Rattus norvegicus: one gene and its partner. The protein of the gene in region 1 interacts with the protein of each later gene in a biochemical or structural test. Links are inferred from orthologs where the notes say so. Each region holds a gene or a part of one and is shown on either strand. Other genes may lie near its edges.

Region 1 (15,064 bases):
GGTTGGTTCCAGACCAGAGCTACACAGTGAGACCCTGCCTTAAAAAATTGCACACAAATTTGTGTGTGTGTGTGTGTGTACTCCACAATATATAGTATGTATTATTCCACATGTTATATATTGTGTAAACCCCAGTCTGACTTACAGATCTTATCCCCTTTCCTCAGTTACTCACTTCTCCACTTTTGATAATTATCTTTCATAATGTATGCTGCTGCTGAAATTCTACCACAAATGTATATGGCCATGGATGTACAGAATTTGCATTGTTTTTAATTTTGCATGGATAGTTGGCAACTCTTTTTTTTTTTTTTTCGGAGCTGGGGACCGAACCCAGGGCCTTGCGCTTGCTAGGCAAGCGCTCTACCACTGAGCTAAATCCCCAACCCATAGTTGGCAACTCTTACAACTTCCTTCCTCCCTCCCTCCGTCCCTCCCTCCCTTCCTTCCTTCCTCCCTCCCTTCTTTCCTTCCTTTGAGACAAGGTCTCACTATGTTGCTCCAGTTGGCCTGGAAACCACATTTGCACCAGGCTGGCTTGGAATTTGCAGTGATCCTGTTGCCTTAGCCTTTCATGTCCTGGAATTAGAGAACCACCATTATACCCAGCCCAGGTTAGCAATGTTTCTGAGATGTGTCCACTCTTCTATATGGTTCTGACCTATTCGTTTTTTTGTTTTATAAATTGCGTTCTTTTCAGGAATCTACTGCATTCTAGCTGACCATTCACTGGATTCATGGGTTTATTGTCATTGTTATCAGCAGCAATGAAGCGCATATTCTTCTGTATATTGCTTTATGTGCTTGTGTATCAATGAGTTCTGTAGGTGAGGGCTGTATTTATTCAGGTCGGAGCCCAAATTCTGATTGGTCCTAGGTGGAGATTATGGTTGTGGGTTTCTTAAGATTAACAAACCTCAGAACATACAGAACATAAGGGTATGTGGTCATCATGGCCCTGCTCTGAGTCAAGTTATTTTTTTCTGTCAACAATATGAAATAGCTGGCAGGCATGGAACAAAATGGCTACAGCTATGCTAGAGGGGTAAGCCTCAATGTGAGATTATATATATATGTATATATATATATGTATATGTATATATATGTATATGTGTGTGTGTATCTAGATATATATGTGTGTGTATACATACACATACATACATGAATGAATATTTTGCCTGGGGAAACGTCAGGTCGACAAACTACAGCCAAGCAGAGGAATCTCTGTTGTGACCTTAGATAACATCTGATGACACTATTAGGCTGTGAGTTGGTGCAACCCAATGGTCTGCTGAGGTAACACATTCCAAAAGGCACCACCTGATAGGCACAGGATGTTAGACTTTAGACCTGCAATATCCCAACCCTTTCCACAATGGATGGTGCTCAAGGCTCATCAGTCCTGGAGATGGAATGCAGGTGGTCAGGTTTGCTGGCCAACGCCCTAGCCCGTTGAGTCATTTAGTCATTCCCTATTATCCCTTCAAAACTACCTGTTTCTTGTTTTGTGTGTTATCACTTCACTCATTGGCTTCTCATTTTTGCATAAAAGCAGATTTACTGTTATCCTATTATGTTACCGAACCTATGCCAAAATTCTATCTTGGTCTAGAATCTAGGTTTGGTTTTTTTTTTTTTTTTTTTTTTTCCGGAGCTGGGGACAGAACCCAGGGCCTTACACTTGCTAGGCAAGCGCTCTACCACTGAGCTAAATCCCCAACCCCTAGAATCTAGGTTTTTAAACTTATAATCTCCATTTTTTTTTTATTTGTCTGCTTGAAGCCGGGTCTTCTTACTAGGCATGTCGGGATGGCTTGGTACTTACGATCTGTCTAAGTCACTTTTCTATTGCTGTGATAAAACGTCATGACCAAAGTAACTTACAGAAGGATAGATTTAACTCATGGCGCTAGAGGGATAAGAGTCCATCACCATCGCAGCTGGGAATTGTAGCAGCTGGCGCTGAGAGCTGAGGGCCCATACCTCAAACCACAGACAGGAAACAGAAAGCAAACTAGGATGCTATATGTCTTTTGAAAGCTAAAAACCACACCCCTATACAAGCTCCATGACATACTTCTTCCAGTAAGGCCAAACCTCCTAACTCCTTACTCAAACAGTACTGGCAACTGGAAGCAAATGTCAAGTACCTGAGGACTGTGGGGTCCATTTCATCTCTCCCTAAAACTGTCCTCTAGCTTCATCCTCAGGGGTGGGGATACTGCAGACCACTATGCCCACAGGCTGTAAATCTATCCATTTTATCATACTGATAAATCAGAGAAAAGGAGGAAATCTACAAGTGAACGCATCCAAGGTATGTAAAAAGAGGCATAGGAAAGATAAATAGGAAGATGACTTATCCCTTATTAAGAACCAATACTCTGCCAGGCAGTGACGGCACGTCTTTAATCCCAGCGCTGAGTAAGAGGAGGCAGGGAGTTGCACCATTCCAGAGGATTAGGAGGTATGGCTTTGTTGGAAGAAGTGTGTCACTGGGGGTGGGTTCTGAGGTTTCAAGTCCTTAGTCTCTCAGCCTATGATCAGGATGTAGCTCTCAGCTATTGCTCCAGCACTGCCTGCGTGCCACCCTGCTCCCTGCTTTGCTCACGGACCAAACTTCCCAAGGTGAAAGCAAGGCCCCACTCAAATGCTTTCTCTTATAACTGTCTGGGCCATGGCGTCTCCACAGCAATATCCCACTGACTAAGACAGAAGTTGGTACCAGGACTGAAGCATTACTGTAACAGGCCAGGGCATGCTGCTTGTTGGTCGAGTGTGGACTTTGGGACTTTACGGGGCTTAATGGGCCATCCTAGAAGGAACATGGAAGACAGTGGTTCTGAGAGCAATGTAGATCATGACCGGCCCACCTCGAGAGGTTTCGGAGGGAAAGAATATTAGCAAGTGGCCTAGAGATCATTCTTGATGTATTTTGACCAAAAAATGCGGCTGTTTTTGCCCTTGTCCTAAAACTCTGCCTGCTGCTAAATTGAGTTTTGGATTAATGGCTTTGGCAGAAAAGATTTTAAGACAGCATAGTACTGACTGTGTCCCGTGGCTTTAGTAACTATTCTTATGCAGATCTACAATGATGAAAAGGGGCAAGCTGGACAGAGACATCCAGGTGTAGTTTGGGAGGAAAAGGAGCACCAGGAAGTGTTATGGAGCTAATCCTGTGCTGAAGGAGATAAACAGTTAAAAAAAAAAAAAAAAAAAAAAAAAAAAGCTTGATGCCAAATGAAATAAAGCGAGTTGTAACCTTGGAGCAAGACCTCACCCAGCTAACCTTCCAACGTGTGGGAAAGAATTAGAGAAAAACTTAAGTAGTAAAGGAAACCGTCAACGACAGAGAGCTGGTGAAAATGTAATTGACGGAGGGGACCAAGCTCCAGCAATCAGAAGAACCTGGCAGTTTCTGCGATGTGGTTATGGCTTTAGAGCCAAGGATGCAAGAAGGGGCTTGTGGACTCTCCCTCCAAGGCTATGGCCTCTCCATCCGAGGCTAAGGAAAGTTGCTGAGGCCAGGTGTGTGGCACGAGTGTCCCTGCATGGAGACCCAGAGAGGCCATTGTGTGAAGCCCTGAAAGTGAAGCCTGGATTGTGTTGGAGGCCCCAAAATAACTGCAGATGCCAGAGTAGTGGATATCTGCCAAGGAGAGCTAACAGGGTGGGAATCAGCCTGAGAGGAAGACGTGTTATAGTCAACAAGGCTGAAAGGAGCCGGAGAGCTGAAGAACACTTTACATAGGACATGGAGATGCAGAATTTGGAGTTTGCTGGGTTTTGGTTTTGCTTTGGTCCAGTATTTCCTCACTATGCTCTTTCCTCCCTTTTGGAATGGTGATACCTATCCTGTACCATTGTGTATTGGAAGTAGGAGATCTGATTTTGATCTTACAGGGGTTTTCAATAAGAGATACCTTGATTCTCAGAAGATACTTTGAACTTTTTTTTTTGAGGCTGTGATAGACTATGGGGACTATGAAGGTCAGTGAAAAGAATATGATGGTTTGAATAACTCCCATATGCTTTTATATTTGAATGCTTAGTGTCTAGAAGTGACACTATTTGAAAGGATTAGAAGGATTAGGAAGTGTAGCCTTCTCAGAGGAAGTGTGTTGGTGAGATTAGGCTTCCAGATTTCAAAAGCCCACACCCAGGTTTCTCAATCTGGATCAGGTTGTAGCTCTTAGCTACTGCTTCAGCACCTGACTGCATACTGCTTTGCTCCCCACCATAATTGGACCAAAACTGTTGAAGTTGTAAGCAAGATCCCAATTAAATGCTTTCTCTTATAATAGTTGTCTTGGCCAAAGTGTTTCTCTTCACAGCAATACCAATCACTGTGACTAAGAAGTGGCACAGTGACTAAGACTCGGCGTTTTGTTTTTAAACTTAATTTGAGTCAACTGTCCACATCCCACTCATTAAAGTTCAATTACTTATTACACATGTATACCTTACTTCAGTTAGCTCTTGGGTAAAAGTTTAATGAGAGGCATTCTAGCGCTTAGGTGTTTTGGGGGGTGGTGTGGGGGGAAGGGATGGAGGCCAGGGACTAACAGAGTCTAGCTCAGAGCTTACTACTGAACTATGGCCTAACCTTATCAAGGCATTTGATTAGTATGTTGGAAGATCCTCGTGAGCTAGTTAGAACCGACAGATATATAGAGTAGGAATTCTTTGCCCATGGATCCAACACTTTAAAACTCATACAAGTGCAATGTTCTCAGAATGACTGTAACTGGAAAAAAGACCTTAGGTAAGAGCAATATTAAACAGGGGTTCCATCAGTCTTATCAATGAAATCTGAACTGTGTGTGCCCAGTCAGTTTGACTCTGCATTGTCTGTCACGTTTGTTTTTTGTTTCATTCTCACACTGTACTCCAGGGTGGCCTCCACCTGGCTCATAACAACCTGATCCTCCTGCTTCAACCCCCCAAGTTCAAGTATCCGGCTTATTTCTTCTTTTCATTTTTTTTTTTTTTCCGGAGCTGGGGACCGAACCCAGGGCCTTGCGCTCGCTAGGCAAGCGCTCTACCGCTGAGCTAAATCCCCAACCCCTCTTTTCATTTTTTTAACCGAGTCTGGGAATATCAGCAATCCTCCTTCTGTCTCTCATCTCATTTTTTTCTGCAGCTATCAGAATTTCCTGACTTTCCAATTTCATCAGGGTTCTCTGGGGTGCTCTTACTTCACTTTTCTCCTAATCTCACCCACAATCATTTCAACTTTGCTGTCCAGGCCATTGGTAGTCCGTTCAAGGTCAGGAAAAATATCAGGCGAGGTGAAAAGTTAAGACATAAACTAAAAGGTCTTATCCAACTGGGCGTGGTGGCACACACTTTAATCCCGGCACTCAAAAGACTCAAGAGGCAGGTGAATCTCTCGGATTCAAAATTGGTCCACAAAAGAGTTCCAAGCTAGCTTGGGTTACATAGAGACTCCCTATCTCAACAAAAACACATTAAAAAAAATTCGTAACCGCGATCACCATTAGCCTGGAACAACGGTTTCCCCATCACCCATACTTGTATTATCCAACCACAGCTACTCTGGGGATGGCCCTGAGGCTGCTTCCTCTGTTCTCAGCCACCTTGGGTAGAGCACAGTGAGATTTCCGTGAGTCCTGTCAACTCTCTTCTCTTGGCCACTTCCTCAGCCAAGGCCGTCCTCCAAGTCCGGGGAGAACGCCACAGTTCCGGTAAGAGCCTCAGTAGCAGCCTGCGCTCCGGTGCAGGGAACAGGGAGCAGGGGCAGGAAGCGACGAGCAGGACTGGGCTCAGCAGGGACAGGCCACCACCGGAAGCGCGTGGGGGGCGCTCGGGCGGAAGACCGCGCGCGGTGGGCTGGGGGCGCCGCGAAGGGCGGGGCCTGTGCGCGCCGGGGGCGGGGCTCCCGCTCAGGTCACGTGAGGGGCCCGGTGGAGGTGGTGGAGGTGGTGGCGCGGCGGCGGCGGCGGCCGCGGCGTCTAGAGCGGCGCCCAGTGCAGGATGTTGCAGGAGACGGCGGCGGTGTCGTTGGCGGTAGCGGGCGGAGGAGCGGTGACGGCTGAGGCGCCCGCGGGCGGGATAAAATGGCGGATTTCGAGGAGTTGAGGGTGAGCGTCGCGGGGGGAGCGGAGGCCGCAGGGCGGGGGGAGGGGAGGCGGGAGCAGCGCGGCGCCGCCGGGGCGTGCGGCCGGTTGGCGGAGCCGTGTCGTCGGGCGCTGCGCGAGGAGGGACAGCGCGGGCGAGGGCGGGCGGATGGCCCGGGCGGCGGGCCGCACACCTGGCGGGCTGGACTCGGCCGGGCGCGTGCAGCGGCGTTCGCCTCAGCGGTGGCGACCCCGGAGCACTGTGTGAAAGACCGACCGCCTTCGGAAACGCGAAGTTGTGTTTAGGAATTTTCCTGTCCCCGCTGTGGTCTAGGCAGGTCTGTCACGAGATGAGGCCCCTTCTTCCCACCAGCGCTTTCTCCCTCAGCGTGGGGAGAAGCGCGGTCTTTTGGGAACACCGCCTTCCGTAGTCCGCCTTAGACCCAGGGACTTGGTTTGTAACCATGGTAAGAAATCTTCAAAGTCCGTGTTGTCACGTATGTAGTTTGTGCTCTCGAGGAGAAACTGTTTCTTAGCATGAGAACAAGCTCGTAACTTTATTGTTGGTACCTTTGTAGTCGGGGTCTAACGTAGAGGCTAGACAGATCATCTCACAGAAACCATATCCCAAACTAAACCAGGTATAGTGAGCTGCATTGAAGGCCGAATTACTGACGACATATGTGGGATGTTTACAGATAGAAACCGTGTGTGTGTGTGTGTGTGTGTGTGTTTTAAAGTGGAGACAAAGTATGGATTTGAAGTTAAATGAACTTGCAACCAGTTGAGGTAACCCAGCCATGTTTGGCGTTTGGGTTACTTTAATCTGTTCTGCTTTCTAAAGACCATTATTGTTTGTGGGAAAAGGATGTTGGCTGGCTGGACACCAACAAAAGAGTGAATGTGAAAGCTCGCTTAGGGCCTACCATTTTCCCTCCTGTTTCAGGAAAAGATGATTTTTCCCAATAAAAATTATACCGATGCATGTTGTATCCCTTATCAGTTTATACAGAGAACCATGACTGAAAAGGATATTTGCACTATATCGGTCTTAAGTGTTTATTGGAGCTCTTGAAACAATCAGGCCTGAGCCTCACTTCAGTAAACTGAACACTGGAGGTATTTTTACATGCAGTATTACCTTAACTTTTGCACAGTAACAGATGTATATTTCCTCTCCCAAGGAAGGTAGCTTTTTTTTTTTAATTTGGTTGGTGAAAACCTTTGTAGGGCTTGTATTAGACTTTTAGAAACGTTGCTGGTTAAAGAGAAGAATTAATCTTAACCACATAGGGTGGGAAAGGACATCAGTACTCAGATTGGAGTGAAACCAGGACCTCAAAAGGACCTTTCTGCTTTCTCTGTTTTGATTTGTGGCTCAGCCTCATTTTCTCATCCCTAAATCATCTGGGTTTTGCATCTCTTTGTGCTTGGTAAAAGGTAATGTTGTTGGCTTCCCCATTCATAGTTAAGTGACCAACAGAGACTTGACCTCAGAGTTTCCAGAGGGAGGGAGGGAAGGCAGGCAGGCAGGCAGGCAGGCAGGCAGGCAGGCTGAGTAGATGCTGGGAGAATTACCCACTATGTTTTGCTTAGGGCAGACTCATGTTAGTTTAAATTTAAAGAACTTTATCCCAGTCTGAGTACAGGAAGTGATGATGACATATACTCATTTTAATATCACCTTATTACATGCCAAACTCTGCTTCAGATACTTCACATATACATTGCTAGTCTCCTAATTCTGTAAAGAAAATGAACATAGACAAACTTTCATCTAGATTATAGTTTGAGAGAGGAAATCTTAAAATTTTAAACACTAGTTACTTGATTTCAGAGTCTTGAGTTCTTGAATCCATGTTAGATTTCATTGTTCAAGTGCCTTTGGGACTAGGTGGGATTCCTAATTACTCTATTTATAGACTAAATTAAATGATAAATACTATCTTTTTGTATCATAAAAGTGGAAGAAAAATAGAACAGTGGACCCTCCTCCAAAAAAACCCAAAAAACAAAACCCCACAGAAAACAAACAATCCAAACCAATGCCAAAAAACTATAATCAGAAAGAAAGAGAAGGGGAAGAAATATCCTGGACACTCAGAATGATGGTTTCTGGTACAGATTATATTCAGATGATCCCAGTGACAGTTAATTCAATATAGAATCAGAAATTATGGACATTAGATTTTTGGTTATCTTGGCAGTGGAAGAAATGGTAGACGAATTCTCGGATACTATAATTTAAGCTGTTGAGGATCAGTCTGTTGAGTAGTCAGCATGTCCCTGGTGCTGTCTGCTCTAGAGGGATCTTTTGGAGAAAGATCATCCCCTCATTGCGGTTTAGTTATGTTCTTTCACTTTTTAGGCTTGGTGGGGTGGGGAAGGGAGGTGTCATTTGATAAGCGTGGTGGTTTGAATAGGTATGGCCTCCATAAGATTCATGTATTTGAGTGCTTGGCCTATAGGGAGTTTAGGAGGTGTGACTTTGTTGGAGTAGATGTGACCTTGTTGGAGGAAGTGTGTCATTGTTGGGGCAAGCTCTGAGGTCTTCTATGCTCAGGTTCCACCCAGTATGGAACACAGGCTCCTCTTGGCTGTCTTCAGATCAAGATGATGTTGGCTCCTCCAGCACCATGTCTGCCTGGATGCTGCCATGCTTCCCACCATGATGATGATGGACTATATTTCTGAGACTGCAAGCCAGTCCCAATTAAATGTTTTACTTTGTAAGAGTTGTCTTTGTCATGGTGTCTCATTCATCAGTGGAACCCTAACTAAGAAGACAAGTTGGTACCAGGGACTGGGGTATTGCTGTGATAGGCCTGATCATTTTTTGTTTGGAGAAATGTGGGTTTTGAAATCTTGGATTAAGAAAAGTGTGGGATGCTCTAAGTGGGACTTAATAGGTCATACAAATAGATCCATGGAAGACATTTGTGCCGGGGCGATTCGAACACGGGGGCCTGGCTCATGAGGTTTCAGGGAAGAATTTTGGTATGTTGCCTAAAGATTGTTTTTGTGCTATTTTGGTGAAGAATGTGGCTGCTTTTTGCCCTTGTCTGAAGTCTGCCTGAGGCTAAGGAGAAGAGATTTAGATTAATTTCATTGGTAAAGGAAAATCTCAAAACAGCCTAGTACAAACTTTGTACTGTTGTTCTCTCCCCTTCATCGCCCTTCCCCCTCGCCCACCCTCTATTTTCTGGTTTTTTTTTTTTTTTTTCTTCCCTCAGTGTAACCAGCCCTGGCTGTCCTCTCCTGGACTTGCTTTGTAGACTAGGCTGGTCTTAAACTCAAAGAGATCTGCCTGCCTCTGCCTCCTGAGTGCTGGGGTTAAAGATATGTGCCACCAAGCCCAGGTCTGTGGCACATATCCTTAAGAAGAGCCTCTTAAGAAGAGCCTTTTGATCAGACATAGCAAGCTGAGAAAGAAAAATACAAAATGTATGGTTCAAGGATTAAAAGGGCATCAGGAAATGGAATGGAACTAAATTTTGTGTTCAAGGAGATAACACATTAATGATATTAGTTGAAATTAAGGGAATGGTGACCTCAGGCAAAATTCCATCCAGCTAAGCTTCCGTCTTGTGAAAAGAATGTTTCCCAAGGGACATTTCCACCTATTATAAATTTACAAATGTTTGCAGTTGTGTGAGGGATAGTTATATCATGTTAAACACTATTATGACTTGGTTATTTTCATCTGTATATAAGAAGATACGATTATATGTTGTCAGGTGGATTGTGTTGGCTATTTTCAGTTGTCAATTTGACTATCTGGAATGAACTACAGTCTAGATATCAAGGGCATATCTAATCTTGAACTTGGAAGACCCAGGGTTTTGATGAGGATCATGAGGCAGAATGACACAAGCTTTTAATTCAGATCTTGAGGCATAGTGGCGATGCTTATTAAATTCTATAATGGAAAGGAATTAAAGAAAAGTTTAGGCCCAAGTGTGGTGGTACACATTTTTAATCCTAGCACTTAAGAGACAGGCATTCAGATTTCTGAGTTCAAGGCCAGCCTGGTCTACAGAGCAAGTTCTAGAACAGCCAAGCTTAGGCATTGAAGGAAACCGGGGAAAACAGAAAGTTGTTCAGTCTGTAATTGAACAAGGGAGCCCATGTTCCAGGCCCACCAAGCAACCGAATTTGGTAGCTTTGGCCACGTGGTTCTGGCTTTAGAGTTAAGAAACATCCTTCTGCAACCAAGGAAAGTTGCTGAGGCCACGTGTGTGGCAGGAGTGCCCCTTCATGGAGGCCCAGAGAAGCCATTGTGTGAAGCTGTGAAAGTGAAGCCTGGATTACCTTTTGAGACCTTCAGATGTTGGAGATGCCAGAATTGTGGGATACCTGTCAAGGAAACTGCTAACAGGCAGTGGAACCAGCACGAGAGAAAGAAGTGTGTTGTAGTCAACAAAGCTGAAAGGAGATGAAGATCTGAAGAATGTGTTGACATCAGACATGGAGATGCAGATGGAGTTTGTCCAGCTGGTTTCAGTCTTGCTTCCCTTAAGTATTTGTCCTGGAACAGTAATGTATATCCTGTGCCATGATACATTGGAAGTATGGGATCTGTTTTTTTATTTTTACTTTATAGGGGTTACAGTTAAGCGATTGCATAAATCTCTGAAGAGACTTTGAACTCTTAAACCTGTTTGAGACTGATAGACTATGGGGACTTTCAAAGTTGGACTAAATGTATTTTGCATTATGTGGGTACAAGCCTATGGGGGATAGGAGTGGAATGTGGTGATTTGAATAGATTCATGTATTTGAATGCTTGGCCCATACGGAATGGCACTATTAGGTCTGGCACTGTTGGAGTAGGTGTGGTCTTGTTGGAGGAAGTGTGTCACTGTGGGTGTGGACATTGAGGTTTCCTAGGCTTAGGCTCCACCCAGTATGGAATATAGTCTCCTTCTGGCTACTTTCAGATCAAGCTGTGGAACTCTTGGCTCCTCTAGCACCATGTCTGCCTGGACGCTTCTTTCTCGGTGCTTTCCACTGTGATGATAAGGACTGAACCTCTGAACCTGTAAGCCAGCCCCAATGTCCTTTATAAGAGTTGCCTTGGCTGTAGTGTCTCTTCACAGCACTGGAAACCCTGAGACAAAAAAGCACCTGTAGAACCTTAAGGTGTTGCTCAATAAGATTTTTTTTTTTTCTTCAAGACTATGTGAGCAACTCACAGAGAGACACTGGCCACATACTATGGCTGCTCTGTGTTTTACCTTTAGGTCCCAAGTGACTACTAGATTACTAGTCTTGCTTTCTTCATTCTTGTAAAAGAATATGATGCGTCTGGAGCTTTGGTCAGAATCCACTTGACTGTCCATTTCTAGGGTATTGGAATCATGGTACAAATTTGATTTTGGAAGCCATTCTAATGGGTTGAAGGAAAGGAAGGGGGGAATTCTTTTTTTTTTTTTTTTTTTTCTTTTTTTTTTTCGGAGCTGGGGACCTAACCCAGGGCCTTGCGCTTGCTAGGCAAGCGCTCTACCATTGAGCTAAATCCCCAACCCCAGAAGGGGGGAATTCTTTAAGAAAGAAGGTGGCCTGTGTAGTCAAAGGTGATTATAATAGTATGGTTTGTATAAGAAGCTTTCCAGGGAAATAATTTGGTTTCCTAGATGCTTAACTTGTTAGATGTGAATTAACTTGCTACAAGATTGTTTTAGCTTCTGTTTTATTGCTCTGAAGAACCACAATGATCAAGGCAACACTTATAGAAGAAAACTTTTAATTTGGGAGCATGCTTGTAGTTTGAGACGGTTATCTCATCTTCATGGCTATGGGAAGCAAACAGGCATAGGTTAGAGCAGTAGCTAAGGTGGTGGTTCTCAACCTTTGCAAGTAGTGTTGTGACCCTTTATACAGTTCTTCATGTTGTGGTGACCCCCAGCCATAAGACTATTTTCTTTCTTTTTTTTTAATGATTTATTTATTTATTGTATGTGAGTACACTGTTGCTGTCTTCAGACACACCAGAAGAGGGCATTGGATCCCATTACAGATGGTTGTGAGCCACCATGTGGTTGTGGGAATTGAACTCAGGACCTCTGGAGGAGCAGTCAGTGCTCTTAACCACTGAGCCATCTCTCCAGCCCGATTTCAGTGCTACTTTATTACTACTTTTGCTATTGTTAGAATCTTAAATATCTCAGTTTTTCTGATGGTCTAAGGTATCCCTATGTAAAGGTCTTTCGAGCCCCAGGTTGAGAACCATTAAAGCTTTATATCCTGAGCCACAGTCAACAGGAAGATACGTGGGCCTGGTCTGGACTTTTGAAATCTTAGGTACTATTAGGATAGAGGAAGAATGAGAGGCTAATGAGATGTCGAAGTTCTAAGTCCTCATCTCCCTCCACCAAACCACTACACAGGGGAAACACTAATGTACGTGCTGTATGACAGAATCCATGGTGTTTTCAGTGCTATTAGGAAAAACAGCCTCCTAATAATACTTTGTTTAAATTGTCTATGAAGGCATGCCAAAGTGATATGTTAATTTAAAATGAAATTTTTATAAAACGACAATTTCCAGTTGTCAATGAACCATGATATTCTGGGTAGTAGTAGGTACTTTTGTGTTTGTTTGCTTTGTAGGTCTGTATGTTCCCTCCAGTAAACATGAATTAACTTTTCTGATGATGAAATGGCAGATTCCCGACATATCATCTGAACATATTCCTCAACATTTTTGCTTTTGTTTCCGTGGGTTTGATGTCTCTGTCTCTATCCCCCCCCCCCCCTTTGGTTTTCCAAAATACAGTTTCTTAGTGTAACAGTCTTAGCTGTCCTGGAACTACAGAAATTCACTGCCTCTGCCTTTTGAGTGCTGGAATTAATGGTGTATGCCAATATGCCTGGTTTGATGTTTGCTTTTTTAGTTAGTTTTAAATTGAGATAATTTAAATACTGTAAAATTAAGCCACTGAAAGTATCGAATATGGTGCTCTTTTAGACTATTCACAAAGTCACATTAGTGTCATCACTGTCTAATTCAGGGACAGTTTTATTATTCCAAAAAAAGTCATATGCAGTAGTTCCTCAGGCCATAGCACCTACTCTGTCTGTGGGTTTGCCTGTCATGAGCATTTCTTTCTTTCTTTTTTTTTTTTTTCGGTGCTGGGGGCTGAACCCAGCCTTGTGCTTGCTAGGCAAGCGCTCTACCTCTGAGCTAAATCCCCAACCCTGAGCATTTCTTATCAATGGAATCATACAACACTACTGGCCTTTTATGTCTGGCTCATTTTCATTTAGCATAATGTCCTCTGGATTCATTTGTGTTGTAGCAAATACCAGTAATCTGTTTCTTCTTGTTCCGTTGTGTGAATGTATTGTTTGGCATTGAGTTATTTTTACTTAATGGCTAGTACCAGTGTTAACTACATGAGCATAAGTTTTATTTGGACATAGGCTTTCAGTTCTCTTGAGTCCATATTTAGGAATGGAATTGATGCATAATCTTCTATGGTTAACTTTTATTTATTTCTTTAATGCACTGTCTCGTGTAGTAGCACAGGCTGGTCTTAAACTCTCTGGTCCTCTTGCCTCTAATTCCTGAGTATTGAGATTACAGGCATGGTCTGCCACTTTTGGCTTCTTTTCTTTCCTTTCCCCTCAGATATGGAATTATACTCAAGTATCACCTAACATCAGTCACTTTCTGATAAGTATATTGACAGGTAATTTCAGTTTTGTGCAGTTATCATAGGGTGTTGTTGTTTGGGCTATATCTGTTTATCTTTCTTTCTTTCTTAAAATATTGTTCTGTTTTATTTATGTGTTTGTGTGTTTTACCTGCATGTATATCTGAACTCACAGACACTAGAAGATGGCATCAGAGCCTTTGGAACTAGAGTTACAGGTAGTTTGTTTTTTTCTTTTTAAAGATTTATTCATTTATTATATATAAGTACACTGTAGCTGTCTTCAGACACACCAGAAGAGGGCACCAGATCTCTTTACAGATGGTTGTGAGCCACCATGTGGTTGCTGGGAATTGAACTCAGGACCTCTGGAAGAGCAGTCGGGGCTCTTAACCGCTGAGCCATCTCTCCAGCCCAAGTTACAGGTAGTTGTAAGCCACCATGTAGGGTCTGGGAATTGGACCTATGTCTTTTGGAACAGCAGACAGTGCTTTTAATCATTGAAGCATCTCTTCAGATCCCTTCCCTCCCTCCCTCCCTCCCTCCCTCCCTCCCTCCCTCCCTCCCTCCCTTCCTGGTACAGTCACATGTAGCTTGGACACTGTAGCTGAAGATACTTCTGAGCTCCTGATCTTATAGGTGTGTGTGACCACATTTGGCTTTATAGAATGTATTTACATAAATTTAGGTGGGATAGTCTAATACATAGTTATATAGTTGGGCTGTATGTCAAGTATTTACATATGCTATATGCAATAGTCTGTTGCTCCTAAGGCCATGGACAAAATAACAATTCAATTAAATCAAGCATAAAAGAAAATGAAGTAATAGAAAAACTGTTGATGAGGCTGCTTGCAGGTATAACAGGATGTGTTGTTTGCAGTAAACTTCCTTTTTTAAAGTCTATTTATTTTATGTGTATGGGTGTTTTGTCTGTGTACCACTTGTGGGTATAGTGCTTGAGGAGGTCAGAAGAGTTAAATCCCCTAGGACTGGAGTTAGAGGGGTTGTGAGCCACCATGTGGGATGCTAGGAATCAAACTGGGGTCTCTCAGTGTTCTCAATTGTTAAGTCTTCTCTCCAGTGCCCTATTGGTTTTTGTTTGCCTGAACAGTGTAGTATGACAACTCTTTTTTTTTTTTTTTTTTTGGTTCTTTTTTTCGGAGCTGGGGATCGAACCCAGGGCCTTGCGCTTCCTAGGCAAGTGCTCTACCACTGAGCTAAATCCCCAACCCCACATGACAACTCTTTATATAGCATTTATGTTTTATTAGGGATAATTTTTTCAGGACTTGTAGGTGACATGAAAGTTTTGTTTGCAATACT
Region 2 (14,964 bases), on another chromosome or scaffold:
GCTGTGTGGTTCTGAAACATGGCCACCAACAGCCTCTTGGGACTACTGTGGGTGACTGTGTCAGTCCCAACTGGTGTGTTTTGCAGGTGTTAGCATTTAGACACAGAGGGCCTGTGGACTGCATTCTAAAAGTTCATGACAAGATACAAGGAAAAGACACTCTCGACACCCTAGCTAGCGCTCCCGATGGATCTAGCGGCTTGATGCTCAAGTGTTTCTTTCCCTGCTTACCAAGTTGACTGCTTGGGCATACTATTAAAATTCTAGGTATCTTAGTGTCCTGTGTAAAGTGGGTTATTAACAGCATTCCAGAAACTGGGCAAATAAATGGTAGGTCAAAAGGAAGGCCTTCTGTGCCTGCCACTATCACCTACCCCAGCCACCTAGTGGCTACTTTGGGACTATGTAAGGAGGAAGAAGATAGATAGACAGGGAGAATGAAGAGGAAGAGGCATGTCCCTCTGGGAGCCATGTTGGGAATGTGCTTTGGAGGCTGGTCCACCCCACCCAGGAAGTCAAATGGAAATAGGAGTTATGTGCTGGCTTTCAGGGCCAACAGAAGCCATCCTCTGTGCCCTCAAAGGATGCCTTTTTCAGACATGAGCCCTCGCTGTGACATTCAGATTCAAAGCCAGAGGCCTGTTCTAGGAGTGTGTGGTCCATAAACCATGCCTGGTAACCTCCTTACTGGTCCTCTGGACCACCTGAAAGGGTTAGTCGGACATCCCTGAGTTTCTTCGCCTTCCCTTCCCCAAATGCAGCCTGTATATGAGAAAAGTCCCCAAACGTGGGTGTCGAAGTGGCTGCCGGTTGGACCAAAGCGTTCCTCTGCCTTCTGACTTAGCACTCGTGCCCCCAAGTTCTCCCGTGCCTCCCTACTCCCTGCGTAGCCGCACAGTCTTGCACCCACATCCGGGGGGGGTCTCTGGGCCCAGGGCCACGAGTCGCGCGTCCCCGGGGCCCTGCGCGCGCCCGGGCGCCTGACCCGCCCCGTGACGCATTTGCAACCGTCCGGAATCGCGGCTGGCCAGCGCGCACCCGCGGCGCGGGGCACGCGCCTCGTGCACGCGCCCGACCACGTGACTCCGCGCGGCCAACCGGCGCGCCGGGATTTAGGGATAAAGCGCGGCCCCGCGACAGTTGCGGCGGGAGAGCGGCGGGGCAGAGAGCGTGACTCGCCCGCTCCAGTGCCACCGGTTCCCGCTGCGCTTGCCGCCGCCGTCGCCGCGCAACCATGTCGGAAGAGAAGCCCAAGGTAAGCCCGGTACGCAAGACGCAGCAGATTCCGCGGGACGCAGGCTGGGCCGCGCGCAAACGGGACCCGCGGGACCGCGCCCGGGCCTCCGCGCCCCTCCCCCACTCTACCGCGCCCCTCCCCCACCGGCATCGCACTCCTCCCCGGAGCTTTGCTCTAGCCCCGCCTCCGGCTGTGCCTCCCGCCACGACAAGGCTCCGCCCCCGGACTAGCCCCGCCTCAGATGGAGCCACGCCCACGCCCCCGAGAACCCGGAACTTGGGTGCTGGTTCTTGGTTCACAGGGCTCCCCGTCGGTCCTCACTCCGGACACGGCTGTCTTTTGCATGCCGTGCGCGAGGCGCAGCGGTCGCTGTGAGAGCTGCACCAGTGTGGGAGCAAGGCTGGCCGCTCCGAGCTTCCAATGTTCGCCCGGCCGCATGCCCTCCCACTCCATCGCGGTGGTCTCCGCAATTGGTGCTTGGAAAGGCCGGGTTTGCCCATTCCAAATTGAACAGTTTTTCCAGCCTGCTCTGGTGGGGATAGTTTTATCCAACGGGAGATGAACGTTGGAGCCTGGTATTCTGTGCTCTTGACCGGCCTGGAGATGACCACTTTCTTGGTTCTGATGACAGACCCTAGGACCAGGGCAAGCATCTGGAATGCCGTGGTACCATGCTCAGCAGCCGAGCCCAGAGATCTCATTCCTGCAGGGCCCTTACCTTTAATTTCAGCTCAGCCTTGGGTCCTGCCTGCACCATCCCGGATATTGAATGAGCACAGTTCGTCCTCTGCCAAGAGTAGACACTTACTTTATATTTTGTAGCTGGTAACTGCAACAAGAGTTGTAACCTTTTGATGAGCTAGGCAAGAAGTGAATGCCTGATGTGGCACTGGAAAGACCACGCCTTCTGTCTCTCCAGGTTAGGGGAGGCAGAGGCTTATATTCTTTTTTATATTTTGGTGATGCAGCCCAGGGACTTTTGTACACTAGGCAGATGAGTAACCAGTGAGTTACGACCCTCCCCTCACCCCCAATTACCCCACTCTCTTTTAGATAAGCTTTCTTTGTAGTCCAGGCTGTTTTCAAACTCAAAGAGATCCTCCTGCTTCAGCCTCCCGAATGTTGGGATTAAAAGCGTGTGTCACTAAGGGTGGCCTGCCTTCGTTTGGTTTTGCTGTGTTTTGAGACTGGTTTCCCTGTGTAACTCAAACTGGCCTCCACCTAGACCCAGGAGTGCTGGGGTGATGGCAGTCACTGTGCTAAGCCCTCGTTCTTCTGAGTTTACTTGTTAATTAGAGAACTCCAGACCGGAACCAGGCATCCTGCTATCCAGGAAAGCATGCCTGAGGCCTTTTCACCTTTGTCTCAGTTTTGAGCACACACACACATATCCTTTTGGGATAGAAGTCAGTGCATCTTGGGACCTAGAATTGTTCATGCTTCTGGCTTACAGACCTCACTTTTTCTCATGTGGGATCCCACCCTTTGGGGCAGGTGCCAAGCTCTGTGAGCAGTACTGCTGTGTCACTGGTGTCCTGAACTGAAGTGGGGGGAAGTCTCACACAGGAGGGGATGGGAGAATGGTGCCCCAAGGCGTGTTCTTTCAGGACCCTGTTGGAACCTCTCTCCTGCCGACCATTCCTCAGACTAGAAAGAGCTGTGCTCCTATCCAAGACTGTTAGAACCCAGTGCAGGGCAGGTTGACTGTTCTACCTCTTTCTCCAGGGATAAAAAGTTGCTGAGGACATCCCAGGGAAACAGGGTGCTTCTTGTGGAGCATGTTCTGTGGAACTGTGGGGAAAAAGCTGGCGTGAGGACAGGGAGAAAGCTTGGTCTGCAAGTAGAATAAGGGATCTGTCTCCTTAGAAATAAAAGGTTCTCAGCTGGAGGGATGGCTTAGTGGTTAGGAGCACTGACTGTTCTCCAGGGGACCAGAGTTCAGTTCTCAGCACCCACATGGCAGCTCACTCCTGTCTGTAACACCCCAATCTGACCCTCTCACACAGACACGCATGCAGGCAAAACCCCAATGCATATAAAATATTAGTTAATGGTCCCAAGGCTGCAGACTGCTCAGCAGTTAGGGTCGCAGGTGGCTCTTTCAGAGGACCTGGTTCAAGTCCCAGCTCCCACGTTACTGCTGACAAACATCTGTAACTTCACTCCCGGAGGATCTGGCACCTTCTTCTGGCCTCCTTGGACACTGCCTACGTGTGATTCACAGACAGACGTGCAAGCAAATACTAATATACATGAAAACAATCATAAAGGTTAAAAAGCCCCTGTGAACTCTTATCCATGGTGGCTGAAATGGTGCATCCCGTGGGCCGAGCCTGCTCTGAACAACAGAAAGGAGGTCCTTTTCAGACTGAACAACCCAAGGTTGGCTGTGCGGCCCATAACAAACTTATTGTTCAAAATGTGTTTCCAGGCAGCAAGAAGTGCTGACTCGGCCCTTGTCCAGCAGCTTGTGTGTATCGTGATTATATAAAAACTACTGCCACTCAATACGGTTTTTTCCTCCAGTATGGAGGATGGAACCCGGGGCCCTGAGCACACGTATTCTTTAGAGCTATACGGAGCCCAGAAGAAAGAGCAGAGTCTGAGATCAGAGGGCCTGGGGGGACCTCAGCCTTTACCACCTCCACTGGATTCACTCAGGGTCCCCTAGTGCCCTTCTGGTTCTCCACCCTTGGCTTTATGCTGGCTTTTCTTACCAGTCAAAGAGCCAAGTGTAGCCTGCAGGTATGTGTTTTTACTAGCCTCATAAGTAATTTTTTAAGCTTTGGCTGTCTAGATTTAATGAGCAGATTTTTGTCTTTGAGTTGGTAGTCTGTAAGGACTGGCTTTGCACTGCGGTTTCTACCACTGTGCTTAACGAATGTAGGTTAAAAATAAATTCTGTGTAAAAATAAGACAGTCCCACGAGCAACTCTGAGCTGCTGGGGGAATTTTGAGAATTAGGTTGTTTTTAACGAGTCAAAACAACAACCTTACCCAAGAACTTGCGCTTTAAACCCTGGTGATTCTGGCTTTCGAGACCCTTTTTTTCATGTCTTGCAGGAGGGTGTGAAGACAGAGAACGACCACATCAACCTGAAAGTGGCAGGGCAGGATGGCTCAGTGGTGCAGTTCAAGATCAAGAGGCACACTCCGCTGAGCAAGCTGATGAAGGCCTACTGTGAGAGGCAGGTACGTGCTGACCAGAGGAAGGAGTCTTGTGGGGGGTGGGGGATGGGGGCTGCTTGTGTTGCAGGCTTGCCTTTACTGCCCTGGATCTTGGTATCAGCATGAACTTATAGTGTGCCTCTCCCTGGGCTCCTACACATGGATAGGTGGATCTTGGGCTTAAGCAGACTCTAGTGGGACTTGCTACCTGGTAGACCATCATAGTGGTGGCACACTCCTATAGGGGCAGTAAATGGCTCTGCTGAGGCCCTATGGTGCACTCAGACGTGGATCAGTGCTGGTTCGAATTCCTCTTTCTGGTATCCATCCAATTATGCTCATGTATGCTGTCCTCATTGGCGATTTTATTTTATTTTTTAATGTTATTCAGGAAAGTAAGGCTACATGCAACCCCATCAATTCATTACTGTTTTACAATAGCAAGCTGACTGACCTTGTCCCCAGCAGTGAGCAGGGTTGTCTGTGACTGTGAACTCATGGCTCTTGTACACACCGTGCTTGGGTCTGTCCATCTATTCATTCTTATTAGGACCTTCTGGCAGATGGGCACATGCTAGCCCGCCTGGAAGGCCTTGGACTCCTAGTCTCAATTGCTCCTCCGATGTCTGCCTCAGTGGCTTCTTGGCTTGCTGTACATAAACCCAAGTGCCAGATCCTGTTTGAACCCTGCCAGCTGGTGGCTCTCAAAGGGGGCCCTGCCCTTCTGTGAGGGTAGCAGCATCTCCTTACGGTGGTTCAAGGTTGCCCTGAGCGCTTGCCCGCACAGCTAGGTACTGTCCTGAGGTGGTACCATGCTTTTTCCTTTCCTACCTCCTGAGCCCTGCAGATGGTGCCCTCGGCCTCCTCTCTTCTGGGTTTTGACCACAGATACTTCTCACCTGGGAAAGGTGAGACGGAGCTTGCTGGTGACACCATGTCCCCCTTGTGCCCTCCCAGCTGAGTCAGCTTCGTGTGCTGTGTGCCACCACTTGGACTGCACATGTGTAGGCCTGTTCCTTGCTCTTGTGGTTGTGTTTGCCCGGGTTTCTGCTGAGACGCTATGTTGAGGGTGCACACTAGGTCAGCTACCTCAGTGTTCTGGGGCATCCTGCTGGCCCCACCCAAGCCATTGTTTGGAGGTGAGGTTGTATGCACAGCTGCCATCCCAGAGTCTTGGGAGAGTCATTCTGGAGTCTTCTTTGTCTTCTCTTGAGTCTTTTTCTGTGTTAATAGCATCATCTCCCACATCTGACAGGGACATCTTGTCACATCTGGCTGCATGTAACAGTGTAGGCTGCGGTGAGCTATCAGGAAGGTGCCATCATTCTCTGTTAGCATCCTGTGTTTTGGGACACGGGTGACATTCTGCTTCTCTGATGTGAGATCTCAGCAGGGGCTCAGGAGAACTCCTCACTCTGGCATGGTGCTCTCTGGGCCCTTCCCATATGTAGACTTGTCTCTACCTGTCCTGCTCCTGGGTAGACAGACGTCTACCTCTGCTGCTGGGAGTGCCCAGTTCCCCTCAGTCAGCCAATCTGTGTGCTTACCTGTGACCATTTTCCTCCGTTCAAAGATTTATTTATTGCGTGTACGGTATTCTGCCTGCCTGCATGTCAAAGAGGGAATCAGATCCCATTACAGATGGTTGTGAGCCACCATGTGGTTGCTGGGAATTGAACTCAGGACCTCTGGAAGAGCAGTCAGTGCTCTAACCGCTAAGCCATCTCTCCAGCCCCCAGAAGTGCTCTGTCTGCTTCTGTTTTGTGGTTTTTTTTTTTTAACCTAGTAGCAACTTTTTTTTGTTTTCTTGGTGTGTGTGTGTGTGTGTGTGTGTGTGTGTGTGCGCGCGCGCGCGCGCGTGCACATGTGCGTGCACACACAGTTTTTAACCTTCCTAAAAGCTTTAAGTGTACATGTGTTTTAACTGCTCCATCTCCTTTTTTCTGCCTCCCAATATTGAAGAAACTCGAATTGATGTTATACAGGATTTGCTTAGGAGACATGGAGTCATACAAAGTGGAATTCAGCTAAAGGAACACTGTCTCCAAAACACCCTAAAGATAAGTGGGGTACCAACCAGGCCTGTTAGAGATAAGAGACACTTAGGAGGCTAGGATGTCAATGTTTCTTCACAAGGACTGTTAGCTCTATTCTCACATCAGAGGCAACAACCCTGACTTACAAGCAGCTATTAGACCTATCAAATGATACGCCTCCAGGAGGACCGAGCAGGGTCACAGCCAGTATTCAGTCTGGCCTGGTATAAAGTCCCCCTTACTGAGAAATGCACGCGGTTAGGTGGGCAGGATTACCCCAGGTAAGAACCATTTCAAAGAGAACAGCACTGGTGTACTTAAAATAATTCTGGCGATATGCCGTATCTTTGCTGTGTAAACTTCCCATCTGCCTGAGTGGCCAGACTTGCAGTGTCCTGTGTCTGTTTAAGTTGTTCACAGTGTGTCCTGGGCCTGGGACATGTTGCTTTCTTCTTTTCTGGTCTCTTCTCACCTATTTGAGTCTTTTCCTAAATGCCCCCCACCCCCACCCCCAGTTTCTGCTTGTATTTAAGAGTGATGGAGCGAACCCCCGTGGGAAGGAGAAGGGCTGTGTGTTTGGGTGGACATAGCAGAGGCTGCATGTCCGCAGGGTGGTTAGAACTGGGGAGGTCTGGGGGCCCAGGTGCTGCTCTGAGAGGCACTGTTTCCTAAGGAAGATTGCCTCCCAACTGTGCCCAGAATTGGGGTTCAGCTGGAAGACTGAGGAGTCTCTGAGGGTCATCAGGGATGCAGGCTTTTATTAGCCTACACTGGGACACCCACTGCTCATACCTGTCTTTTTTTCTTTTTAAAGATTTATTCATTTATTATATATAAGCACATTGTAGCTGTCTAAAGACACACCAGAAGAGGGGATCAGATCTTTACAGATGGTTGTGAGCCACCATGTGGTTGCTGGGAATTGAACTCAGGACCTCTGGAAGAGTAGTCGGGTGCCCTTAATCACTGAGCCATCTCTCCAGCCCACTCATACCTGTCTTGACAGAGCTCTCAGTCCACATCTCTAGAAAGCCCTGCTTATTGCTGTGAGAGAGAAACTTTCTTGGCCTCTGAGGATTGTGGGGGACTTTGAACCCTTGGTGATTCGTGTGAACTTTTTATTTTTATATACATGGGTGGTTTTGCTTGCATGTATGTATGCCTGTGTACTATACAAATGTCTGGTTTTCACAGAGGCCAAAAAAGGACATTACATCAGATCCCCTGAAACTGGAGTTCCAGGTGGTTGCAAGCTGCCATGTGGGGGCTGGGAAACCGTACCTGAGTCCTCTACAGAACAGCAAGTGCTCTTAACCCCCGAGCTAGTTCAGCCCTGAATGAGAACTTTCACAGAGTTGACCCAGGGGTTCCTGGTCTCACATCCCTGGGGCCCTGAGGTTTTTGGTGTGGCACACATGGGAACCCTGTGTCCTTAGGCTTGCGGCTTCAGATTCCAGCCAGCAGAGAGACCAGTCATCTCTGGGTTCCTTCATAGAGGCCGTGCCTTTCCTTCAGGAAACAGTCACAGCTGTCCCATCTGTCCTGTTTCAAGGACAGCAGGGCTGTCGAGGGAGAGGGCACTTCTGCCTGGTGTTGACCTGCTTCCTCCCGACAGGCTGAGGCCCACTGCCCTCCTTTCAGGATGGGAAATGCCTTTCTTTCCTGCCATGCTCCTCACAGCCTTCCTGATTCTGGCCCTGTGGTCACCTGACCTGTTTCTCTCTGGGAACTTTCCAGAGGAGGAAATGGTACTAAAGTACAGAAGGGAGGAACTTGGCTCAGCTTTCCTTCTGGGAGGAAGTGAGAGACAGAATTAGGACAGGCCTAGTGTTGGAATGAACTGGAAACTTCTGAGAGGGTTAGTTTGGGGCAGCATAGGCTGTAGATTGTGGGCCACTAGGGCTCTTTCTGCTCAGCTGGGTCATGTGTGCATATGCGGAATGCTCATACTATTGATGGCCCTGAATACGTATCTCCAGGTTAAACTGTGTCAGCTGGGAGTGTCTAAGGCTTTTCCTTCCTTCTCCCCAGGGCTTGTCAATGAGGCAGATTCGATTCCGGTTTGATGGACAACCAATCAACGAAACAGACACTCCAGCCCAGGTATGAAGTGTCTGTCTCCAGGTTCTGCGCCATTTTTAGTTTCTAAACGTCCATTTGGAACACTGTTATTTGAGAAATGGCTTGTTTCCACAATGATTTTTTTTAAATTTATTTATTTTTATGGGCATTGGTGTTTTGCCAGTGTGTATGTGTGAGGGTGTCAGCCAGATTTTGGAATTACAGTTGTGAGTTGCCATGTAGGTACTGGGATTTGAACCTCTAGAAGAGCAGTCAGTGCTAACTGCTGAGCCATCTCTCCAGCCCCTCGACAATGATTTTAGTTATTAGACTTCAGGTTTTGATACTTTGAGATTGAGTTTCTCAGACAAGTGGTAGTCAGACATATCTTTGTTGTTTAGAGGCAGTGTCCAAGTGTAGGACCCACACTCTCAGGCTGATTGCCCAGAAATCCATCCACTGTGTGGGCTGATAGAGGGAACACAGCTCCTGAGGTCCTGAGGGCTTAGTGCCAACCGTTTGCTCTTTATTGGAGTTTGAACTGGAGTCAGAACTTAAATATTTGTCTTACTTTAAAAAAAAAAAAGATGTATTTTTATATATATGAGTACATGGTCTCTGTCTTTAGACACACCAGAAGAGGGCATCAGATCTCATTACAGATGGCTGTGAGCCACCATGTGGTTGCTGGGATTTAAACTCAGGACCTCTGGAAGAGCAGTCAGTGCTCTAACCACTGAGCCATCTCTCCAGCACCTGTCTTACTTTAAAAATATTTAATTAAAAGTATTTTTGTGAGGGCTGGGTAGTTGGCTCAGTGGTTAAATACACTTGTTCTTGCAAAGGACCTGGGTTCAATTCCCAAAACTTACAACTGTCTTTAGCTGTAGTCCCAGGAAATCTGATGCCCTCTTGTGGCCCCTAGTCATTAGGCACACAAGTGATGCACATATGTGCACATAAAAACTAATTAAATGGGCTGGGGATTTAGCTCAGTGGTAGAGCGGTTACCTAGGAAGCGCAAGGCCCTGGGTTCGGTCCCCAGCTCCGAAAAAAAGAACCAAAAAAAAAAAAAAAAAAAAACTAATTAAACAATTTGGGGGGTGGCTAGGTGGTTATGGTACACACCTTTGATCCTAGGATTCGGGAGTTATAGGTAAGCCAATCTCTTGAGTTCGAAGCTGGCTTGAGCCACAGAGCGAGTTCTAGGATAGTCATGGCTACACAGAGAAATTATGTCTCAACTCTTTTTTTTTTTTTTTTTTTTTTTTTTGTGGGGTTGGAGAGATTAGCTTAGGGGTGAAGAGAAGCAGCTGTTCTTCCAAAGGACCTGGGTTCGATTCCCAGTACCCCCCCTGGCACCTCAACACTTCTATAACTCCAGTGTTGGGGATCCAAGAATCCTCCATGCATTTGGGGTACATAAGCTCACATAACTACATACACAGACACATAGAAACAAAAGATAAATGAATAATACTTTTTTTTTGGTGAATGTGAAATGTTTCTCTAAAAATGCTGGGTCTGGCGCGATAGCTTGCTGGGTAAGATGCTTGTCACCAAACCCAATGACTTGAGTTCATGTGAGTGTCCCCCTCATTAAAAATGTATTCAAGTGTCTTAAGATGCTGACATTGCCGTATATGAAATAGCGTAAGTGCACAAAGTGTTTTCTGTGGCTGATGAGTCTGTTTTTAATGACCCCATTTTTCTCTCAGTTCTTAGCTCTGATTATTCTTCTGTGAATCTTGTCAGAAGTCGGGTGGATAAGTAGTTACTGAGACTCCACAGTAACCCTTTTTCTCGCATGCTGCACTCCAGCCAAGGTGACTGGGCTGTGTCTAGTGTAGGGGAAGCCGTTTGGGAGCGTGGTATCATTGTGAACTGACTTCTGGATTTCCTGTCTCCTCTCCCTGGCCCGCCCTGGCACCTTCGAAAGCTGGAGATGGAGGATGAGGACACCATTGATGTATTCCAGCAGCAGACGGGAGGAACGGCCTCCCGAGCCAGCGTCCCCACACCCAGCCATTTTCCTGACATTTGCTATTGAATGGTGACCATGCAGCCACACCAATCACACAAGAGTCCGCAGAAGCCAGAGTCACCGAAAAGAGTCTCCTTTCCCGATGCGCTTGGAGTGAACTACATCCAGAATACGCTGCAGGGCGAGAGCATTACATACCCTGGTCGTTAGGAGGGTTTGGTTTGGGGGAAATGAGGCGTGGGGTTTTTGGGGTTTGTTTTGTTTTCATTTGTTTCCTCCCATTTCTAAAATTTTTTCTCCCCCAAACTTGGGTCTGGATGTACAGACTCTCACCCTGTGGCCTGAGTCTAATCCCTAGAACTATGGTTTCCTCCGGTGTGACTTGTCCTGATCAGGTAGAGAGAGCTTGTGGTCACATTACCCAGTGGGCATACCTGTGGGATGTGGGGAGGGGCAGAGAAGCAGAATTCCACCCGTTTGTTGTAGGCATAGGATATTAAAATGTGAAATACTGTAAATTTGAGCTTTGTCAAGCATATGGTGAAGTTAAGGGAAAAAGACCAGTGCTTCTTAAAAACTGTGAGGAGTCTTCCTACTGTGGCCCAGGCCGGCATATGCCCACTTGCTTCTGGCATCTGGTAATGGATACATCGGTAAGGGTGGCATAGTGAAACCCACCCCCCACCCTTTTTATAATGTCCAAGAAAGTAATTGTCCCGTCCCATTTGGAAATTGAACATGATCTCAGATTCTTCTGGTCCTTGCTAGATATATAATTATGGTTTCTGTCTAAGAAGGTAATCAGTTAAGTATCAAGTTTGCTGCAGTGTTGTGTAAGAGCCCCGCTTTCAAGTGTGGTTGCAAAAGCAAGCCCAGGAAAGGTGACCTCATTTTCCCGGATTGTGGTGTGCAGTTTTCCAAGTGTGTGTTAACGGGACGCCTCGGTGGGTGACTGCGGTTCTGCATCGTGGGGTCAGTTAAATGTCTATAGTTCCTGCCTGCCATCCTTCTGTAAGGATCCATTGCTGCTTGATGGCCATCTCTGCCTTTTATAGTCACCCGACACTGACCTACCATCTCTCGCTTGCTTAAAGTCCCGAGGAAAATGTTTCTGCCTGTTTGCTGCGTGGGCCTGGGTGGGGTGTCTGTCGGCTCTGTTGTGTTTCTTCACCGGTTTGTACCTGTTGTCCTTTACTACTGTAAACAGTAAATATAGTTTGGTATTCTGTCTCTTGGCCTATGTTAAACGCTGTATTTGGAGACTGGTCATATGTCACAGCTCACTGTTGACAGTCTGTCCAGTGAGGCCACTCAGACGGACAGACAAGGCATTGCTTAGCTTGCTTTGCAGCATGTGTGCCCTGTGCTGGTCCTGAGTCTGCACAGACTGCACAACTAGGCTCTCCTCCCCTTGGTGTGTGAAGATAAGGTGGGCTTTAGAGGCAGGGCGTAACGTGGGGTCTCTCAGTTCACGACTGCTCATCTGCTTTGGCAGGAGTTGGTGCTAATTTGGCTGTGAGGGGTTTCAGTACTTAGGTGAGACAAAACCAGGGTTCTCATGGCCCAAGCTATTTTAGCCTGTAAGTTAAGCACCAACACCAAGCACTTAATTCGTCCAGCAGGAATGTGTGGATTAAAATGGAGCACAGAGCCATTTTCTAGGTCCCTCAAAGATTAATTACTTTCTCAATATTGTCACAGAGTTAGTGGCAAGCAGCCTAGAGGAGCAAGAGTTTATTTTGGCTTATGGTTTGAGGGTACGTCCTCATGACAGGGAATACAAAGGTAACTGGAGCATTAGGCTGCTTGTTGGGGCTCTGGGGGATCAGGAAGCAGTTAATCCTGTCAGGAAAAGGTCTTAGGGTATACTCAAAGGTGAACTTCATTAACACTCTAGGCATTTTTTAATTGATTCAAGTTTCTTGTCAGCCAGACACCCAAATACATCATTGTAGAATCAATCTACTTGGCTCTTTAAAATCATGTGTTACATATTACAAAACACATTTAGTCTGTCTCTGGGTGCCCACCCTCAAAGTTCAAAGTCAGCTCTGAGACTCCAGATGATTTTTGAGCCCCTGTAAAATAAACAAGTTACTTCTAACATATAGCGCCAAGGCCTATTTCAAAAGGGAGGGACTGGAGCATAGCAAAGAAAGATTAGGCGGAAGCCAGATTAATGAAAGCCAGCAGGGCACAAACCGAAGCCTGCTGCTCCGTGTCTAGCGTCAGAGGTTCTTGACATCATTTGGGCCCCGGTAGCCGTGGGTAGTCCCATCCCACAGTTCTGTTGCCTGAGGTGTCTGTGGTCTCTGTTGGGCCAATACCTGGTGCCTGCAGCACTCCTCCATGAACATCTCACCCTTCTGGCTTCTCTAACATCTGGGGATCCCTTACTATAGAACCTCTGCCTTCTCAACTCCACACAGCTTCGTCTCAGGGCCTCTGTACAGGAAATCTGAAATCTGATATTCCCATTCATTGCCTTGTTAGTGGCTTTCTGGAATCTTGGCACAGATTTCCATCCTTTCTCCTCCCTTACAACTTGCAATTGTGGATGCTGCCACCAAATTTGGCTGTCAGTTCCAGATGAAGCCTGGCACCCTTAGGCCACAGTTGCAGCCACCTCTGTGTGCTCTCGCAGCTGGGAAAACATCTCCGTACATGCTGGGTTTTTTTACCCCCAGCAGGAAACCCTGAAGACTCTCTTCAGGCACTCTCCTTTCAGATAAATTTGCATTTTTTTCTCGGAGCTGGGGACCGAACCCAGGGCCTTGCGCTTGCTAGGCAAGCGCTCTACCACTGAGCTAAATCCCCAAGTCCAAATTTGCATTTTTATTCCCTGGAGTTCTCATTTCAATAGGTACTGTACCTAGTGTTCCAGTGCAAGGCCTCAGACAGCTCTTGACTGGCACTAAATTCCTTTAACCCCTACGGTCAGTTTGTTCCAAATCTGCCCTGCCCTTAACTTGGTCTGACCTCTACTCACCAAAGAACACTTCCCACATTTCTCTGAGCCACTTTCCACCTGTTGTCACTGTAAATCTGGATAAATGCGGCAAACGAGAACCATGCCACAGCCTGGGTGTCCGGTAGGCTGCCTTGAAAATCCACCTGCCAATCAGCTTCCTTAGCCCATTGCTTTTGAAAGTTAGCCTCATTCCATCCAGTTTTTAGGTTGCAGGGTAAACACAAAATTGTTATGGGGAGTCCACCAGAGAAAACCACTCTGATACTCTGTAGCCAATTAGAAGTCTTTATTCCAGCCAGCCGGGACCATGCTTAGGTATTTGGGATTTAAGACTAAAGAGCACTGGTCGGAAAGGGTTCTATCAGTATCAAAAATACAGTTCTAAAGTAGCAGCAAAGGTAATGTTAAAGTTGGGGGTCACCACAACACAAGGAACTGTGTTAAAGGTTCTCGGCACTAGGAAGGTTGAGAACCGCTGGTTTAGAGTGTGGAGTAAGGTGTCTTTAAAGACAAAACCCACATCCTGATAACTCAGCAGTTTGCAGGGAGAAGTTTTGTGCAAGCAAGCAATTTAAAAGCAGTCAGCTGGAGGAGGTTCTGCACAAGGTTTTACAGAAGCTAAATTACCTAGGCACCTTGACCTCAGGTGCCTAGAATAGAGTTGAGTGACTGTCCCTGGGGCTTTCCATCAAGGAGATCAGATTTTAGTTAAACCTAATATGGCCTCAGCAAGAATCCAAGATGGAGGAAACTGCATGGTGTTGCCCTGTCACGGTGTGATGTGAAATGGTTGCCAGCCGAGTTTCTGATGTGCTCCCTGTTCACCTCTGGGATAAAGCTTTGTGAGCAGTCTTGACTGCCTGCATTTCTTGGCATTCTGGTCTTCCGGATTCCCACCAGAATGGGAATGTTAGCCCTGCTCACAGCATTCCAGGGCTAGTCTAGCTCACAGCTCTGAACCTGTTTTCCACTTTTCTCCTTAAAACTAGCTCTGGCTGGGGCTAGAGAGATGACTCAGAGGTTAAGAGCACTGTCTGCTCTTCCAGAGGTTCTGAGTTCAAGTCCCAGGAACCACATGGTGGCTCACAACCATCTGTAATGGGATCCGATGCCCTCTTCTGATGTGTCTGAAGACAGTGACAGTGTGCTCATATAAAATAAATAAAAATTAAAAAAACAACAAAACAAACAACCAGCTCTGAAGAACTGTACCTCGTGGTCAGGTTTGTCACCGCAATGGCCTCAGTTCATGGCACTATTTTACTCTTGTTTTCTTGCTGCTGGGATCAATACCTGACAAGAAATAAGAAGTTAGTTTTCTCTCAGGGTTTGAGTGGACACAGTCTGTCCTGGCGGGCAGGTGGCCCCAAGGCGGCAGCAGGGTGTGACCACTGTTTCCTCACACAGCTTAACTGAAGAGGAAGGAGAGAGAAATGGAAGCCAAGCTGATCCTAATCCCAAAACTCACCCCCATCCCCAAGTAACCCACTTGCTCCAGCGAGGCCTC

What was found.
Region 2: the proteins of Pias2 (region 1) and Sumo3 form a complex in vitro, tested with the Homo sapiens proteins (2 studies listed by BioGRID, with this or other methods). The link is inferred for Rattus norvegicus from reciprocal best matches to the Homo sapiens genes PIAS2 and SUMO3.

The regions. Positions count from the first base shown.
Region 1 is NC_086036.1:72,895,803-72,910,866, forward strand, and holds the start of Pias2 (E3 SUMO-protein ligase PIAS2), read left to right. Parts: upstream 1-5,904; 5' UTR 5,905-6,080; coding exon 6,081-6,104; intron 6,105-6,183; exon of another isoform or gene 6,184-6,544; coding exon of another isoform or gene 6,545-6,547; intron 6,548-15,064. UniProt on the Homo sapiens protein: Functions as an E3-type small ubiquitin-like modifier (SUMO) ligase, stabilizing the interaction between UBE2I and the substrate, and as a SUMO-tethering factor.
Region 2 is NC_086038.1:11,006,482-11,021,445, reverse strand, and holds Sumo3 (small ubiquitin-related modifier 3), read left to right. Parts: upstream 1-1,158; 5' UTR 1,159-1,234; coding exon 1,235-1,255; intron 1,256-4,300; coding exon 4,301-4,429; intron 4,430-8,472; coding exon 8,473-8,544; intron 8,545-10,220; coding exon of another isoform or gene 10,221-10,247; exon of another isoform or gene 10,248-10,441; coding exon 10,442-10,552; 3' UTR 10,553-11,712; downstream 11,713-14,964. UniProt on the Homo sapiens protein: Ubiquitin-like protein which can be covalently attached to target lysines either as a monomer or as a lysine-linked polymer. Does not seem to be involved in protein degradation and may function as an antagonist of ubiquitin in the degradation process.